3 linked regions of the Canis lupus familiaris genome follow. The protein of the gene in region 2 interacts with the protein of the main gene of each other region in a pairwise test. Links are inferred from orthologs where the notes say so. Each region holds a gene or a part of one and is shown on either strand. Other genes may lie near its edges.

Region 1 (6,126 bases), on a different chromosome or scaffold from region 2:
AAACCACTTCTGTGGGTGTTTGAGGGTCTTTAAAAAGAGAACATGCTGTTCCCATGAGTGGAACGCCTTCTGAAGGAAGAGTCACAGCGAGCACAGAGCTCTAGTTCTGGGATTTTGAGGCAGGGCTCGTCCTTGGGAGATCTAGTGTCCTGATTCAAGCCATCTTCATTTCCAATTGATTGAAGTCCTGGTATGGAGGAGAACAGAGTCTTGGGCTTCTACCTGGTTTCAAGTCTTAGCCACAGACTGGCCATTTTTTCAATGGTAAAATGGGGATACTTAATAATAGAATTTCCCTCCTAGACCTATTGCATATAAAATGAGATAACATGCAGACAAGTAGGGCATGGCTAAATGCCTAATAAGTGGTAGCTGTCAAAGAAAGCCTTGCTGCTACTGGCTCCTTCCTTACTATGTGTGGCTCTAGGTAGTTGATATAAGCTCTGCGAGCCAGTTTCCTCATCTGAGGAGGGTTAACATTACCAGTTCACAGAGCTCCCATGTCGATTAAATGGGATGTGGTGCAAGCACTTCTTTGCACACTCCCTGGCACAATGTAGATACTTGACATTTGTCAGCTTTCTTCACCCTCACATTATCTTGGCCTGCCTAGTGGCTCAAGACTGAAGTTCCTTCATAATAATTTCTCGTCCAGATGTATCTTGTTAACAAGCAAGTACTTCCAAATAGAACTGATATTTTAAAACCATCGCTTAAAATTTTCTTCGGTACAAAGGAGGAAGGAGCCTGTGGGCACTGGGTACTATTCAGGGACACCCGAGAGAGGGAACAAGGAAAGCCGAGATTGGCAAAGCATCTTGTCTCTATAGTCTTACACAGGTGAAGCTGGTCAGCCGCACACCCTCCTGTTCAAACTAACTTCTCTGCCTCCAGGATCAGGAAACCCTGCCTTACAACCTGAGAGCATCCAGGAGTCCCTGCTTTAATGAAAATTGAGGGCGTGGGGCAGTAGAGATTGTATCTATCCACTGTTTATAAAGTGGGTGGCTCTCCACATTTGGAGCCTGCTTTCACTACCTGTGGACCTCACTCTCCTAAACCCAGAGCACACTAGAGTCGGCTTGGGCCATTTTTGGCTAAACCCCAACACTTGAGGCAGGCATTGTAAGTTTCCCTCCAGATGCCCTCTTGGTCTTCTTTTATCAGAGATCTGGAGTCACAACCAGATCAAGAACCACGTCCCTTATGCCACGTGTATGGATAGTTTGATGATTAATTAGACACAAATGTGGCACTGGGGTCTGAGAATGGCTTATGGGACATATGCAACTTACCATTGGATTTTCGCCACCAGTGGCTGCCCTAACGCCAGGTGCTGCTTAACGACTAGGGAAAGTCCTCAGGCTGTGGGCTGTGCTGCAGGGTGGGCGAGGAGAGCTTGGGGACTCCGCAGACCTGGGGGACTGGAGCTGCCACCAGGGGGCTCAGGCCTGCAGGGAGCTCCACGGAGGCCCTGCGGAGGGAAGAGGGGCGCCGCCAGCGGCAGAGGCAGATGTCCCCCCAGCTGCCTCTTTTGGCAGCGGTGAGTGAGGAGGTTCCTGGGCTCCTTGCTCTAAGGCGAAAGGCCTCCCCAGCCGGCCGCTCAGAACCCGCACCCGCCATCTACCTCCACGGCCTCGTGGCTTGGCCTCTCCAGGGGCACGAACCTGCCCTTGGGCCCCGGACTGAGAAAACCCAAAGCCTCTCTAGTTTCACCACTGGATTCTTAAGAGTCAGATTTCTGGGGGCACCTTCCGTGGTTGAGCCTCTGCCTTCCGCTCAGGGCGTGATCCTGGGGTCCCGGGATCGAGTCCCACGTTGGGTTCCCTGCACGGAGCCTGCTTCTCCCTCTGCCTGTGTCTCTGCCTCTCTCTCTGTGTGTCTCTCATGAGTAAATAAATTCTTAAAAAAAAAAAAAAAAGTCAGACTTCTGTATTTAAATGACCCCGAAGCATCCACTGACAGACCCACGTGGGGCACGGTCTAGGGACGTGAATCTTCAAAGTGTGGCCCCCCCACCGGGCAGCATCCGTTTGGGCTTGGTCCTGCACCGGGTTGGAAATGCGCATTCTCAGGCCCCGCCCCAGACCTCCCAAACCCAGGCCGGCGGGAAGGGCGCCTCGAGTGCTCGCTCCCCGGGGCTTCTCCCTCCGCCCAGGTGAGTGTGGATGGCGAGACACGGGGAGTCCGCGTCCTCCCGAGATTTCTGGGCAGCCGGCTCGGTGGTCACGTGGGCTCTTGGAGGCTTTCTCCGCCGCCCCCGGGTCTTTAAAAGGGAGGAGAGGCTCCTCGTTAAGTCGTTGGTGATCTTTGCAGCGTCTCCGGCTCCTGGACCTGTTGAAACCGGGTTCGCGCCCCTGCAGCCAGGCAGCCCGAAGCGCCGAGGGGGCGGGGACCGCCGGGGAAACTTGCGGTGGGTGGGAGGGGGCGGCGGGAGCGCGGAGGGGGACCGCGGCGGCGGCGGGCGGCGGGCGGCGATCCAGCTGCGCTCGGGCTCCGGCTCCGCTCCGGCTCCGCTCCGGCTCCGCGCCGCGCGGTGGGCGCGCTCTCCGGCCCCGGGACCGCGGGGCCCGCGGCGGGCGGCTGCTCCGGGAGAGGCCGGGCCCGCGTGACAGAGACCCCTGGGCGCCGTGCACCTGCAAGGTAAGGGCCCCCCGGCCGGCTCGAGGTGGGACTGTCTGCTCCTCTGTGTGAAAGCCAAGGATGCGAAAGCAGCAATATTGAGAACAATGACAGACCCCCGCCTCCGCCCGAAACCACTTGTCTTGAAAACTATAGGAAACAGAAATTTCACGCTCTAAGTATTTTCACTCAAGACGCTGGCAAGTTAATTTAATTAGTTTGTGCCTGTAAACTCCGGATTGATACGTGTCTTTTTGAAAGAAAAAAACTCTAGATTTTTTCTTTCTTTCTTTTCTTTCTTTTATTTTTCTTTCTTTCTTTTCCTCTTTTTTTTCTTTCTTTTCGTTCTTTCTTTCTTTCTTTCTTTCTCTCTTTCTTTCTCTCTTTCTTTCTCTCTTTCTCTCTTTCTCTCTTTCTTTCTTTCTTTCTTTCTTCTTTCCTCCTATGGATTTCCCGAAAAAGGGTGAAATGATGAGCGTGGGAAAGTTGAACGAGGACTTCATGCTTGAGTTTTGTGGGCCTGGGAAGGTGTACGTGGATCAAGCAGGTGACCGGTGTTTTAAATGTATTAAGTGCCACTGCTCAGTGATATAAAAAACAGATTTGCTTCTGTCCTGGGTGAACTGAGCAAGATCTAAGATCTGGTCTGTTTTATTTGCTGAAGAGGAAGCCAGCTGCTCTTCTCTTGTCCCTTTGTGTTACCATTCGTGCCTGATTCATTTCGGAAGCCTAAAATTAAGTCAAGGGAATAATATTTTTTTGTAAAAAAAATTTGGGTTTGAGTGAATTTCTATTTAGGAAAACCAGGTTGACTCAATTTTACTAGCTTTTTAAAAAAGCAGCTTTGTGCTTTGGTGTAGTACACAACCCTTTGGAGGTAAGATTTTTGCCTTACTAGACTTTTAGTATTTTCATGGACATGCCATTGGGAATTTTTACTTTTAAGTTTCTGAACTCACAGTGGCTATTATATGTGGAGAAAGGTATTCGTTACTTAAGTGAACATGTGGAAAGAAAGGTTTCTGCCGTTAAGTATTGTAAAAAAGTATGTGTTCTCTGACTATGACACTTCTTCTTTGCCTTTTATTTTTTCTGCAGAAAAATCTATATTTCTGCATATACTCAAGAAGAGGGAGAATGTAAGGTGTTAAAGCATAATCTTAGGATCCATTTTACATTCAATCTTCTTTTTTTCAGTTGAATTACTGAAACATTCTTATTTCAAAAACAGCCAGTCTCCTGTAACTCTTAAGACTTGAAAATCTCTGAAATCTATTAAAAACACAGAATACATTTCATAGTGGTTCTGAGGGACTCAAATGAATCTAATGACCTTTTCTATTCCTCAGTTTACTTATAATATGGAAAAGGTAAAATTTAGTAGTAAATTTAACCCTTCAAAACATAATTAACATCTAATAGATATTGAAATGTTCATTTTTAAGAGTAAAACACTACAGTTTTCTATATATCTATATTCAAGTAATGGTGCAAAATACATCTGATAATTTTAGTTTATGTTTTGAGCCACTTTATATAATACTTGTAAATATGTAATGATTATATAAAACACTGAAGGCTGAACTTGAATCATTTACTGGTAAGTTTTTTCCTAATTACATCTAGAACATTGAGAACTGTATACTTGAATGTTACACTTCATAATTTAGTGGAAATGGACATTATAGCCATTTTAAAAAGGCAGGTTCCTGGCAATATAATTTATATACAGTAAAACCTAGCCTCTTTAGGTTACCCTTTATGAATTCTGACAGTTGCAACATTTATATAATCACTTCTACAGTCAAGACCTAGAAGAGTGCCATCACTCCCAAAAGTCCCCTTTGTGTGTTTGTAATCAGCCCCCCCACCCATCCTCACCCCCTGAAAAATCACTGAACTGTTCCCTAATTTTACTGTTCTGTTCTTCAGTATGTTTTTACCCAGAAATAATTAATCTTCCTATGCTTTTTGCAAAAGAGAATCCCAGTCTCCCTCAACCCCCCTTTTTGTTGGGATGAGTCAGGTTGTGGTATTTTTGTTTTACTCCTTATATACTTTGGAATGAATTGAGGCAAAGAAAAGCTATTTTGCAAATGGGACTGTTAGGTTCCCATTGGGCTAATAGATTTCATTCTTAGCACATTCGGATTCCATTGTGGGCTAAGTCTTTTGTTCTGGTGTGCATCTGGATTATCACCAACTGAATACAGGGTTTTTAAAAAGAAACATTGGTCATTTATGTAATATTAATAGAATGTATTGTATTTATATAACTAGGCATTTAAAAAATACTTTTATTATATTTGAGAGTACAAAAGTTACCTGAAATTACGTACGATTAATTAGTGAGGAGCAGAAAAGTAATTAAAAATGGCAATCTGGAGACATTGAAAATCTAATATAGAGTGATTGTGACTTAAGTTAAAAAATACTGTCCTTATTAAGAGTTGAGGTCTGTGCCCAATTTATGTGTTGATGTCAGAGTTTTTCCATTTCTGTGCTCATGCTTTGAAATCTAGATTTTCTTGCAGGACATATTCTTTACTGTTTAATGCATTATTCAATTTAGAGAATAGCTAGGAGTCTGTTATTGTTAAGCACTCCTAATAAAGATATGTCAGATGATGTCTTTTTCCTTTCTCCTTTGTGCTATGAAAAGAGGAGGCCGTATTTTCTACATGCAGCTTACCTTTCAGAGAACTACAGAGGCAGTAACTAGGATAAGCAGAGTGGCATGCTGAGGAAGCACCAGCAAACTGAGTGGTTGGCATTCCTAGCTGGAGGTTTTATACCTCTTCATAAATTAAGGGCCTTCAGCGGGGATTCTGGGTATGGGTGTACTTAACAGAGAGCAGGAGAGTAAGGGTCACTGTCAAGGCAGCTTACTGGATTTGGTATGTTTCCTCAAAGCAAGACTGCAATGTTTGTGGGTAAATGTTCGTGTTCAACTGAAACCCAGGACCGGAAGAGGAGATGAGTGCATTCACTTTAACTTCTGCGTTGGTCATGACCTCTTCATTCACAACTGTCCCCTCCCTGTCCCAAATGGATATTTGAAAATGGTTCCATTTCCTAAGAGCAGTGCATTTTCTCTGATGATTGGAATTGGGAAGGGGCAGAGACTTGCTGAAGAGAGTAGACTGATGGGCTCTCCCTCCATACCCCGCCTTAGCATGTGAAGACCGTGCAGCTGAGGCTCTGGCGTCTTCACCATCAAGCTTCCAAGTTCTATTTCCTGTTCAGGTCCATAAGGTCCAGGGGGCCACAAGGGGAATTAGAGTTTTCTCATTTTGGAAGATACATGTACGTTTTCTTAAGAGTTGAATGTGAATTATTAGTGATCAGTTCTGTGGTGATTTTAGTGTTTTTTCTTTTTTTAAAAAAGATTTTATTTATTTATTCATGAGAGACATGGAGAGAGGCAGAGACACAGGGAGAGGGAGAAGCAGGTCCCTTTGGGAAGTCTGATGTGGGACTCGATCCCAGGACCTTGGGATCATG
Region 2 (5,965 bases):
AATTGGATTTTTGTTGATGTTGTTGTTGAATTCCTCAAATCTTTCAGAGCTTTCTTACCTCTAGAAATTGTTGTGAAACTTGGAGGTTTGTGGATGATGTCATTTGTCTTTAGGCTGGCTTTTGTCAGGAGCTTTATCTAACTTGTTTCTCATGAAGTCTTTTGGATTAATTTGTTCATCAAGTAACTAATTAATTTTATCATTATCCAAAGAGTCACTCTTTGGGTATGTCAGATTTCTAGGCTAACATAAAAGAATATTTGCATATATGTTTATATGCAAGAATTGTCAAACTTGATCTAAGGTGCTAGAAATCAAAATAGTGATGCCTCTGGGAGAGCAGGTCTTGACTGAGAGGGGACATATAGGAGGAGATAAAAAGGAACTTTCTGGGTTTATAGTTCTTGATCTGGGTGGTGGCAATGCAAGAACACAGGTAAAAATTTATTATACATATACTTAAGATGTTTGCATTTTGCTGTATGTAAATTATACCTCACCTTTTAAAAGTCAAAAGAAAAAGCTTAAAAAACTTTTTTCCAGGATTTTAAAAAAGATTTTATTTATTCATGGGAGATACAGAGAGAGAGAGAGAGAGAGAGAGAGAGACATAGGCAGAGGGAGAAGCAGACTCCAAGCAGGGAGCCCCATGCAGGACTCAATCCTGGATTCCAGGATCACGCCCTGAGCTGAAGGCAGACACTCAACCACTGAGCCACTCAGGCATCCCTTTTCCAGGATCTTGTAAGTCCTTTTGGTATTAATTTCCTAGGCTCAAGGGCCTAAGATGCCTTCTTGTGGCAATCTGTGCTTCTCTTTTTCTTTGCCCTCTTGGTTCCATCACCTAGCATAGTGTCCAGGATGCACAAATACAGCAAATATTTATTAGCACCTCCTGTGTCAGGCACTGTGCTATATGCTGAGGAAATGGTAGTAAACAAGATGGATAAAGTCTCCCTCCTTATGGAGTCCACAGTCTAATGGTGAAGACAAGGAATAAACAACCTAGTGTGTCTTATTGAGGACGAAAGAACCTGTCTGGGGAATGGTCAGGGAAGGAGACCTTGAGGTAGTGATGTTTGAGCTGGGATCTGAAGGCTGATGAGTTATCAAAGTAAGGAGAGTATTTCAGGCACAAGGATCAGCACGTTCAAGGGTCCTGAGAAAGAAGAAAGTATAATGTGTGAAGATCACTGTAATCACAGCCGAGAGAGAAAAGAAGAGCTCCCTAAGATAAGTCTGGAGATGTGGCAAGGGCAACAGTAAGACATCTATTTGGCCTTTATCTTAAGAGCAATATGGACCACCAAATAGTTTTAAATAGAAGGGAGACATGATAAAATTTCTGACTTAGAAACATTAGTCTGACAGCAGGGTGGAGAAAAGATTAAAGGGGAGCCAGGGAAGATGTGAAAAGGCCTTGGATCACTATTGCACCAGTTCAAGCCCACAGTGTGTGCTCAATGGAATGAAAGGACTCCAGTCTCCTTTTCTGAGATGAGATCAGTATGCCTGACCAGTTGTTTACAACCCACCGGCTCATCTTCTCTCTCCTGTGATGCTCATGACAGACTCTTAGCTCCCATTTCACAGATGAATAAGCCGAGATTCAGAGGCAAAGAAAGTCACATAGCTATCAAGAGTGAAAGCCAGGGATCCCTGGGTGGTGCAGCGGTTTGGCGCCTGCCTTTGGCCCAGGGCGCGATCCTGGAGTCCCGGAATCGAATCCCACGTAGGGCTCCCGGTGCATGGACCCTGCTTCTCCCTCCGCCTGTGTCTCCGCCTCTCTCTCTCTCTCTCTCTCTGTGACAATCATAAATAAATAAATTAATTAATTAATTTAAAAAAAAAGAGTGAAAGCCAGTTCTGAATCCAGGCCTGTACGACAGACATCAATTCCAGTACTGGACATTTGGGGAGAGGGAAGGAGCCACATTCTCTTGCACCTACTGAGCTTACTAGCATGATGGTGATGGGAAAAAGCAGAGAGGGACTTATAGGCAAATAATAAAGGCTAAAGGTTATCTTTATCACCGTTAACGTTATTGGACACTATGCGTCAGGCATTGTGCCAAGTGCTTTCCTTGTCTTCATTTCCTCTTTGCAAGCACTATTATTATCCCCTTATTTCAGATATGTAAACTGAGGCTTGGAGCGCTGACTTGCCCAAGCACACTCAGCCAGAGGGCTCCTATAAGGCTGTGCACTACTCTGAAACGGAGCCAAGAGCCACTGATGATATTAAGGCTCCAGGAGACAGAAACTCTCCCGACCCGGGCACTAAGCTCTGCACGCAAGTGAGCGGGCGCGCGCTCCGCCTCGCGCTCTCGGGGACGTTTGGCCACGTGACCAGGGCCCGCCCCCGCCCGCCCCGCCCCCTCCCGCGCTCCCACCCTCTCTCCCTCCCTCCCCCTCCCTCCCCAGCCCGGTCCGGCCCATCCCCCTCCCCGCCGGCTCCCTGAGGCCCTGCCGGGTCGGGCTGCGGGCGGCCGGGCGCCGACGGCCGGACAGACGGACGCACGCGAGGACGGACTGACGGACACACGGAGGGCGGCGGGCGCGCACGGCCCGGGCCGGTGCTCCGAGGCCCGCCCGGGAGGGCTGGGGCCGCGCTCAGGTGAGGTGACGGCGACGCGGGCCCGTAAGGGGTGGGCCCGCCGGGCGTCTGGGGTCCCGGTCCCGCTGGCTCCGCGGGAAGGAGGCGCCGCCCGGGCCCGGCGCGGGAAAATGGCGCCGGCCGGCAGTGGAACACGGCTCCTGTGCGGGCCCGGCCCGGAGCCGCCCCGCCCGCCGCGCTCGTGTCCCCGTCGCCATGTTGGGGAGCGGGCCCCGGGCCTGCGGGCGGGGGTGCTGCGGGGAGCGGGGGCCGGCCGGGGTTGGGGAGGGTGCGCGACGCGGGGTCTAGGGCGCTGAGGAAGTGCAGGGCCGGCTGGGGTCTGCACGGGGTGGCGCTCCAGGCCAGAGGAACTGGCGGGAGCCGAACGTGGGGTCGTGGCTGGGGGTCGAGAAGGGACACTGAGTCCAAACGGAACTGGGGCCAGGGTCCTTGAGGCTGGAGGCCAGGACCGGAGTTTAGTCAGGCTATTCACGTTCGGGACCTCGGGGCCGGCAGGACCCAAAGGGGCGTGGGGTCCACGCTCAGGCTGTCAGAGCCGGGACAGTTCTTTGTGGAGGCGCGGAGGGTGGAGGGGGGAGGCTGTGATTAGAAATATTAGAAATGGGGGCCCTTTGGATACAGGCGCGAGTATGAGATTGGAGCGGTTCTCTGAGTCGCGGGGCCGAATTGCAAGTCGTCCAACTCCCAAGAGACTGAGGACATATGTTCCCCTAGCATGTTCCACTCCCAATTAGGAAGAGCAGTGGAAAATAGGAAGACTGATGAGAAGAGAGAAAAGGGAGGCTGCGGTTCGGGTGCAGGAGCTGGCCAGCATAGGGTGGAACTGGTTGGCAAGAAGAAAGAACCTCCGTCAACTTAGGGAGTTTGTGTGTGTCTTTAAAAGGAGGGACCGGGCTGTTTGTGGGCGGTGACCCAAGGTGTCTTCCCAGGAAGGGGACAGCCCACTGTTTTAAGAGCAGGGTCACCTGGGGAGGTCATCACAAAGGCTTTTTTTGAAGCCAGTGAGAATGGTGTAGAAAAATGAATGTGTGAATGAAAACTACAAGGGTCTTAGAGATCACAGAACAACTTCAGAACGTGTAAGGATTTTAGCTGAGCCAGATAAAGTTGACTCCTCAAGATCTCACAAGTTCCTGGCTCTGGAGGTCCACCGCCTTAGTGGAATTTGTTAGCTCTGAGAAAATTGTTAAGGAGAGCTATAGCAGCAAATATCAAAGAACGGTTACTCTGTTTTTGTTTTGGTAATTAGTTTGTCAGTAGAAAGACTGAAGAGGAATACAAAAAAAGTACTGGTAACCAGCTATTTGATCATTTCCAGCCTACCTGCATTTGTGCAAAGAAGTTATCTTCAGAACCCTTTTGACTTCTAACTTTTTAGAGTTTTAAGAGATGCTCCTTCTGTTCTAGGGGTTTACAGCAAAGGGACACCAAAAAGTGAAAAAGATAACAGTGAACAATGGTACACACCCAGGATTTCTATCTTGATCAAACTTTAATTGAAGTTTGATCAAGATAGAGAAGAGTTCAGAGTTCATATGGGTTATGGAAGAATTCTGAGGGAAACTATGAAATATTATGAAATAGTAGTTACAGGCTCCCATAAAATCAAAAAGGACTTTCAACAAAAAGGTTATGAAAATGTACATAGCAAGTAAGATTTTCAATATATGTCCAGTGCGTTTATACTATATATGTGTGTGTGTGTGTATATATATATATATATATACACACACACACCCCCACACACACAGCATCAAGATTCATTTGTTCTGGATCTTTTTTTTTTTTTTTAAATTTATTTATTTTGAGAGAGAGCGTGCGGGTGCTCATGAGAGTGGGGTGAGGGGCAGAAGGAGAAGCAGACTCCCCGCTGAGCAGGGAGCCCAATGTAGGGCTCCATGCTGGAATTGCGAGATCATGACCTGTGCTGCAGACAGAGGGTTAATCAACTGAGCCACCCAAGCATCCCTATTCTGGATATTTCTAATGCAAGAAGGCCTGACTTTGTGCAGTAGATCCCTCTGCCATCTAGTAAAACTGCTCAGAATGATAATAACCCCTCTCAGAATAATATTTTTAATTGAGTAAAACAAAATACACTGTATTATAGAGAAAACCATTATATTGAAATACCAAAATACACAAATTATAAAATAGTGATATAGATATACTTTATCAATACATTAAGAAATCAGATCTAGTGATGGGTGTGATAATTACAATTTTAACACATGGTGAACATAAATAATATTTTGAGATATCAGCAACAATTGTAATATAATGTAAAGATATCTGTGGTAACTGTGACACAGTTACTGTCATAGATACTGCTAATATTAGAGTGGTTTGTTGCCTACAATTTATATTTGAAGAAAATGGTAACTTTCAGTTAGAGGTTAGTGAAAATAAATAGGTGGGGTTTTTTTCCTATCCAAGTTCACAGACCCCTCTGAATTCTGTCTGTGGATTCCCATCTGTGAACCCCAGGTTAAGAAACCCTACTCCTACCACCAGGCATATCTTCTATTCAGCAGACATTTACTGTGCACTAAGATATTCTAAGCATTATGCCAGGCTCTAAGGATTCAAAGGTCTTTAAGGAAGGGTCTTTTCACTTTAGATATTCAATCTTATGAGAGAAATGAACATATAAACAATGATAGTTCAAGATGGTGAATGCCAAAGCAGTGTCAAAGGTTGTAAAAACATAGAGGTGGGCAATGTCTCAGTTCTAAGAGTCAGGGAAGGTTTTGTGAAGGGGTGATCCTGAAAGGTGAAGGAGTTTGCCAGATAGAGTTGGGAGAAAAGAGCTTTCCAGGTAAAGGCATGCACGTTCAGGGAATATAGTTGAATGTGGCTAGAGCATAATATATGTGTAGAAAAGTGGTCAGAGAGGAGATGAACATTTGTTTGGAACCTGGCTTCTTCTTAGCAAAAGGACTTTGCTAAGAAGTTTGGACGGAATCTTTAGCTGATAGGGAAGCATTCATGGATTCCAAGGAGTAGAGTATGTGATTTGGTTTAGTTTTAGGTGATAAATGGATGTTCTTTGTTTTTGTTTTTTTTTTTATTATTATTCATTTATGATAGTCACACACACAGAGAGAGAGAGGCAGAGACACAGGCAGAGGGAGAAGCAGGCTCCATGCACCGGGAGCCCGACGTGGGATTCCGGTTCTCCAGGATCACGCCCTGGGCCAAAGGCAGGCGCTAAACCGCTGCGCCACCTAGGGATCCCAATGGATGTTCTTTGAATGGAGAGTGGATTGGAGAGCACGGAAGAAATAACGAGGGCCTAGTCAAGACAGAGGCTGTGAGCTTTGAACAAAGTTAGAATTTTCAGGTATT
Region 3 (5,940 bases), on a different chromosome or scaffold from region 2:
TATCTTGGGGTAAATACCCAGTAGTATGATTGCTGGATCATTGGGTAGCTCTATTTTTAGCTTCTTGAGGAACCTCCACAGTTTTCCAGAGTGACTGCACCAGGATGCATTCCTACCAACAGTGCAAGAGGGCTCCCCTTTCTCCACATACTGGCCAACATTTGTTGTTTCCTGTCTTATTAATTTTAGTCATTCTCACTGGTAGAATTATACACTTCAAATGGGTGCATTGTATGGGTAGCTGAATTATACTTCAATAAAACTGTTACCAAAATATTATAGGACATTGGATCAGTCATAAATGAAGATATTGGTCTGAAATTAGGTTCAGATAACAAAACTGCCACTGACAGGGTTGACTGGAAAAATAAAAGTTACTTTACCAGCAAAAAAAAAAAAAAAAAAAAAATTATTTGGGAATAGGAGAGAGCTGCAATACTGTAATTTCGGATCGACATGCTCTGGCAAAACAAAACAAAACAAAACAAAACAAAACAAAACAAACAAACAAAAACCCAGGCAAGCTCAACAAAAGAAAGGAGTATTATTTTATGGAGAAGAAAGAGGAAGTTGGGAGGAGTTGTTTTGACCGAAAGTCCACTGGAGAAAAGCAAGAATTCAAGGTGAAGATGGTTTCTCATTGGATGAGTCTGGGGTAGCTGGTTTCTTATAGGAGATGCGATGTACATCTTTCCCTTTGGGGGCTTGTAATTGAGGATTCTTTCTCGTTGAGATTCTTCTGCTGGGGTCTGTCTGTAATTGACAGTCCTTCCTGTGATTGACACAGGAGTGATAACCCAGGAGAGCTCCCCCTGCTGGTCTGCCCCTTTCAATTTACTGAGGTCTCCCTTTATGAATTTTCACCCTGGATGCTTAGGTGCGCCAGGCACTGCCCCTCCTGAATCTTCACACCTTTCTTAAGAAATAGGAATAACTTCCCCTATTTTACAGATCCGTCAACTGAGACTGAGGGTGATATGCCTTGCCCCAAACTGCTGTAATTCATTTTCAGTCTCTTTCAGCCTTTTGCACTATTCTAGGGAAGTTAAAAACAACCTGAGCATCCCCAAGAATAAACACAGTTCTCACATATTAGGCTCTCCTTATTTGAACCTGACCTGACTCATTCTTTTTACCTTATTTAGTTGTAATGACAACCCAACTAACTCTTATTGGGCCCAATTTATTTTTTTTTAGATTGTATTTATCTATTCATGAGAGACCGAGAAAGAGGCAGAGACACAGGCAAAGGGAGAAGCAGGCTTCCTGCGGGGAACCTGATGCGGTCTCAATCCCAGGACCCTAGGATCACGACCTGAGCCAAAGGCAGGTGCTCAACTACTGAGCCACCCAGCCTCCTCGTTGGACCCAGTTTAGGAAAGGAAACTGAGGCACAGGCAGGGTCAATAGCCTGGCTCAACATAACACAACTAGGAAGTGACAGAGACACGAGTTCAGCCATTCTCTCCACTCTATGTCCATGTAATCACCCCTTTTAGTGGTAACATCCTCCGATTCCATAGCTTCAAGGTCATGTCGGAATGGACAAAACAAATTATAAAAGAGCATGACTCATACGTTGCAATAAAAAACGGATATATGCTCAATATAGATCTGATTATCATCCAGGGAAGACCAGAACAGTTCCCTTTTTCTACCTATTCAAGTACTGTGAGTTATCTTTAAAAGCTATTATTTGTATCACTTTGGTTATGAGGTTATGCTTTTTTTAAATCTTCATATCAACAAGTTCTTTTATATATATATATATATAAAGATTTTATTTATTTATTCATGAGAGACACACGGGGGGGGGGGGGCAGAAACACAGGCAGAGTAAGACGCAGGCTCCATGCAGGGAGCCCGATATGGGACTCGATCCCAGGACTCTAGGATCATGCCCTGGGCCAAAGGCAGGCACCAAACCGCTGAGCCACCCAGGGAGCCCTCAACAAGTTCTTTTTTTAATAGATTTTTCCTGGGTCTAGGTTTGCAATTCAATTTATTTCAAACCAATAAGCAACGTGCCTCTAAAACCAGAAAACTTGTTAATCAAACAAGGACAAACATGCTTCAAATCAACGTGTGCGACAAGGAGCAGAAGGTCGGGAGCTTTGTGACCAGTAAACCCCCAAGCTACGAGCCCAGAGAGGAACAGGGCTGGAGCAAAAGCAGCCCAGCTCCCACTCGGAAGGTTTGAGACAGGCCACGCCCCCTCCCGCACTACATTCGGGAACTGGTCCGGAACTCTCCTGCCAGGCCTCGGTGGAAATACTCCGGACGGTAAGCTTCCGGTGAGAATACGACTTCCGTGCGGGGCAGCCGATTTGGCTAGTTAAGCGGACCGGAAGTCCGTCACTCCTGACTGCCCGCCCCCTTCCTAAAGTGACGCACGGCGGGGTTGCCGGAAGAAGTGGCGAAGTTACTTTTGAGGGGATCCGAGAAGCGGCGGCGTGCCAGGGGATACAGAGAAGGAGGAGGAAAAGCAGAGCAAGGGGACAGAGGCAGGTGCACTAGAGTGTGGGGAGACTCGGGAGGCGTCCTGGGCCCGGGGCTTCCCGGCGTTCCCCGCGCTGCTCCGCTCAGCCTCCTTCTCTCCTTCCCCCCCCTCCCTTCCGTAGCTCGCGCTGTCTCCGGTTGTTTCCAGGGCAACGGGAGTAGGAGACCCCGCGAGAGGCCGCCCACAAGACCCTCGCGCGCAGCCATGAGCCCCGCCCCCCACTGGTGTTCGGAGAGGGGCGGGACCTGGAGCGAGGTGTGGGGGCGGAGCGTGAAGGGAGGGGTGAGGCGTGGCCTGACGGGAGGTGGGGCGGGGCCTGCAGGGAGGGGCACCGGCGGGGCGGGGCAAGGGGAGGGGCGGGGCGTGATGGCTGGAGTGAGGGTGGGACCTGGTAGGCTTGGGCGGGACCTAGATGGAAAAGTGGGGGTGGGGCAAGGGGAGGTGGTGGGGTCAGGGTGGGAGTTGGGGATGCTATTTCCGCGGAGGTGGGGAGTTCTTACTCGTAGGTAGGGTGAAACTGGGTGGGATGGAGGAAGTGAGGGCGGAGCACGATGGAAGCAGAAAGGGCAGTACCTGCAGGAACGGAGTGGGCGGAGCCTACGGGAGGGGCGGAGTCTAGGTGAGGGCAGGGCTGAGAGCCTGTGGAGGCCTGGAGCGGTCGGGGGCGGGCTCTGTCCCAACCTGAGGAGAGGTCCCAGAGGCAGGCAGGGGCTAGGCGGGGGTCTCTGCAGTAAAGGAGGAGCCTGGAAAAATGGAAGAAACAGGTGCCCGCATCAGGACTTGGGGCTGGCCTAACCTGAGCCTCCCTGGCCCCACAAGGCTCTCGGTCCCCCCGTATTCTGCAGGTTTCTCCGTGACTCCACCATGTCCACCCCCACCACCAGTTCTCTGGACACGCCCTTGCCTGGTGAGTGAGCTCCTTCCCGGCCCAGCCCCGACCCCCGTGGCACACTTGTCAGGAGAAACTCACTGTGCTTACCTCTCCCAGGAAATGGCCCGCCTCAAGCCAGCGCCCCATCTTCTTCACCAGCGATAAAGGAGGAGGGTCCTGAACTGTGGCCTTCGGGTCCAGATCCTGATGTCCCAGGCAGCGATTGGGCCCGCTCCGCTTGCAGCGGGGGTGAGATGGGGGCCAAGGACAGGGGCTGGGACAGGGTTGGGGAAGGATCCAGAAAGGGAGAAAGATCAGAAATGAGGATGGGAGGCTCCCAATTTCTCGTTAATTTTTTCTTCCATGCTTACTTGTCACTTTTTTTTTCTTTTTTTGCCCGTGAGCATATTTTTTTCCTACTTGATGCCACTTGTCATTTGTTCTTTGGGGTTCACTGATATGCACGCTTTTGTTTCTGAGACACCATTTCCCTGGGTCACTGTCTGTATCCTGGCTTTTTGCTTCTCTCTTGTGGGGATGATCCTTGGGCTGCAATTTCCTTCCGAGGCCCTGTGTCTCAGGGTTCCTGACCACCCACCCCAGTCGTTCCAGACCCTGCTGAGGAACCTGAGCGCAAGCGAAAGAAAGGCCCAGCCCCAAAGATGCTGGGCCATGAGCTGTGCCGTGTGTGCGGGGACAAGGCTTCTGGCTTCCACTACAACGTGCTCAGCTGCGAAGGCTGCAAGGGTTTCTTCCGGCGCAGTGTGGTCCGAGGCGGGGCCAGGCGCTACGCCTGCCGGGGTGGCGGGACCTGCCAGATGGACGCCTTCATGCGGCGCAAGTGCCAGCAGTGCCGGCTGCGCAAGTGCAAGGAGGCCGGGATGAGGGAGCAGTGTGAGTGCTGGGGGGAGAGCCGGCCGGACCCCTGCCCAGCCCTGGGGCCTCTGCTGAGGCCTCTGTCTCCCGAACAGGCGTCCTCTCGGAGGAACAGATCCGAAAGAAGAAGATTCGGAAGCAGCAACAGCAGCAGCAGCAACAGTCACCAGTAGGGCCAATGGGCAGCAGCACAGCTTGTGGACCTGGGGCCTCCCCTGGAGGGTCTGACGGAGGCGGCCAGGGCTCTGGGGAAGGCGAGGGTATTCAGTTAACAGCTGCTCAGGAACTAATGATCCAACAGTTGGTGGCAGCTCAACTGCAGTGCAACAAACGCTCCTTCTCTGACCAGCCCAAAGTCACGGTACCTCCCCTCCCACAGCCTTGAGGGATGATGAGCATGGTGGGGTTGAGCCAGTAAGGCTGTAGCCAAGGGCATGGGGAGGTAACAAGCCTTCAGAGGGCAGGGCCTTGGAGAGGAGGGTCTCCTAGGGTACAGTCTTTGCCTCAAGGTGTCCCTGCAGCCTTGGGCTTGAGGGAGAAGTCCTGAGAATAACCCTGGCCCCTGTTTCCCCAGCCCTGGCCTCTGGGTGCAGACCCCCAGTCCCGCGATGCCCGCCAGCAGCGTTTTGCCCACTTCACGGAACTAGCCATCATCTCAGTCCAGGAGATTGTGGATTTCGCCAAACAAGTGCCTGGCTTCCTGCAGCTGGGCCGCGAGGACCAGATCGCCCTCCTGAAGGCGTCTACCATTGAGGTAATGGGCAGTCTGCCCATCCTCTACAAGGCCCTTCCTTCCTGCCCATGAGGAGCTCCAGGGATAAGCCTCAGGAAAGCTGTTGGGAGTATAGTGATGAGTCATATACCTCCAGTTGTTGCCCTTGTGGAGAGGATACCCTACAGGGGAAGGCCAAAATACTAAACAGATAATCAGAGCCTCCCATGAGCCAAAGAGAACAAGGAAAGGGGCCGGGGCTGGGAAAAATCGAGGATTGGGCTGGAAAGAATGTGGTGCTGGGAAGGCTATTCAGATGAGTTGGCATTTAATCCAAAGCAACCATAACAAATAAATATTGAATTCCTAGCATATATGAGGCTCCACTCCAAGTGCTGAGTATGTGGCAATGAAGAAAACAGACTGCCTGTCCCCATGCCTCATAACCACCTGGGAAGAGTATCCCAAGTAGAGGGTGCTGTGGGTGCTAAACCTGGAGGAGAGAGAGTTTGGGGTATCTGACATGCTGACTGCAGGCTGGGGTGACTGAGGGAACAAGGGATGATTTCTGGCGAGATTAGGTCCCCCCACAGGCCAAGAGAGGAGAGACCAGTGGCTAAAGGGTCATAGGGACTCCTAGAGCCCCTGCCCCTGCCTACTTCTCTCCCTGCTGTCCCCAGATCATGCTGCTAGAGACGGCCAGACGCTACAACCATGAGACCGAGTGCATCACTTTCCTGAAGGACTTTACCTATAGCAAGGATGACTTTCACCGTGCAGGTACAACAGAGAGTGGACTGGCAGGGTGCAGGGCTCGTGCCCCTGCTGGGCCCCTACTGGTGGGAGACCTCAGGCCCTCATTCTTGTCTGCCTCCATTTCTTTATTTCCAAAGCATGGGGAGCTATCCTTGTGGTGAGATAAGGGTACAGAATGCCGAGTCTGTGCACTAGGATGCAATGCAGGATGAGGTGAAGGGGGCT

Evidence for each region. The genes of interacting proteins can lie anywhere in the genome.
Region 1: the proteins of NCOA6 (region 2) and ESR2 interact in a two-hybrid assay, tested with the Homo sapiens proteins (3 studies listed by BioGRID). The link is inferred for Canis lupus familiaris from reciprocal best matches to the Homo sapiens genes NCOA6 and ESR2.
Region 3: the proteins of NCOA6 (region 2) and NR1H2 interact in a two-hybrid assay, tested with the Homo sapiens proteins (2 studies listed by BioGRID). The link is inferred for Canis lupus familiaris from reciprocal best matches to the Homo sapiens genes NCOA6 and NR1H2.

The regions. Positions count from the first base shown.
Region 1 is NC_049229.1:38,986,552-38,992,677, reverse strand, and holds the start of ESR2 (estrogen receptor beta), read left to right. Parts: upstream 1-2,533; 5' UTR 2,534-2,643; intron 2,644-6,126.
Region 2 is NC_049245.1:24,402,567-24,408,531, reverse strand, and holds the start of NCOA6 (nuclear receptor coactivator 6), read left to right. Parts: upstream 1-2,473; 5' UTR 2,474-2,617; intron 2,618-5,965. UniProt on the Homo sapiens protein: Nuclear receptor coactivator that directly binds nuclear receptors and stimulates the transcriptional activities in a hormone-dependent fashion. Coactivates expression in an agonist- and AF2-dependent manner.
Region 3 is NC_049222.1:107,000,954-107,006,893, reverse strand, and holds the start of NR1H2 (oxysterols receptor LXR-beta), read left to right. Parts: upstream 1-2,347; 5' UTR 2,348-2,508; intron 2,509-2,621; 5' UTR 2,622-2,782; intron 2,783-3,345; 5' UTR 3,346-3,364; coding exon 3,365-3,407; intron 3,408-3,488; coding exon 3,489-3,620; intron 3,621-3,974; coding exon 3,975-4,265; intron 4,266-4,342; coding exon 4,343-4,608; intron 4,609-4,821; coding exon 4,822-5,001; intron 5,002-5,639; coding exon 5,640-5,739; intron 5,740-5,940. UniProt on the Homo sapiens protein: Nuclear receptor that exhibits a ligand-dependent transcriptional activation activity. Binds preferentially to double-stranded oligonucleotide direct repeats having the consensus half-site sequence 5'-AGGTCA-3' and 4-nt spacing (DR-4).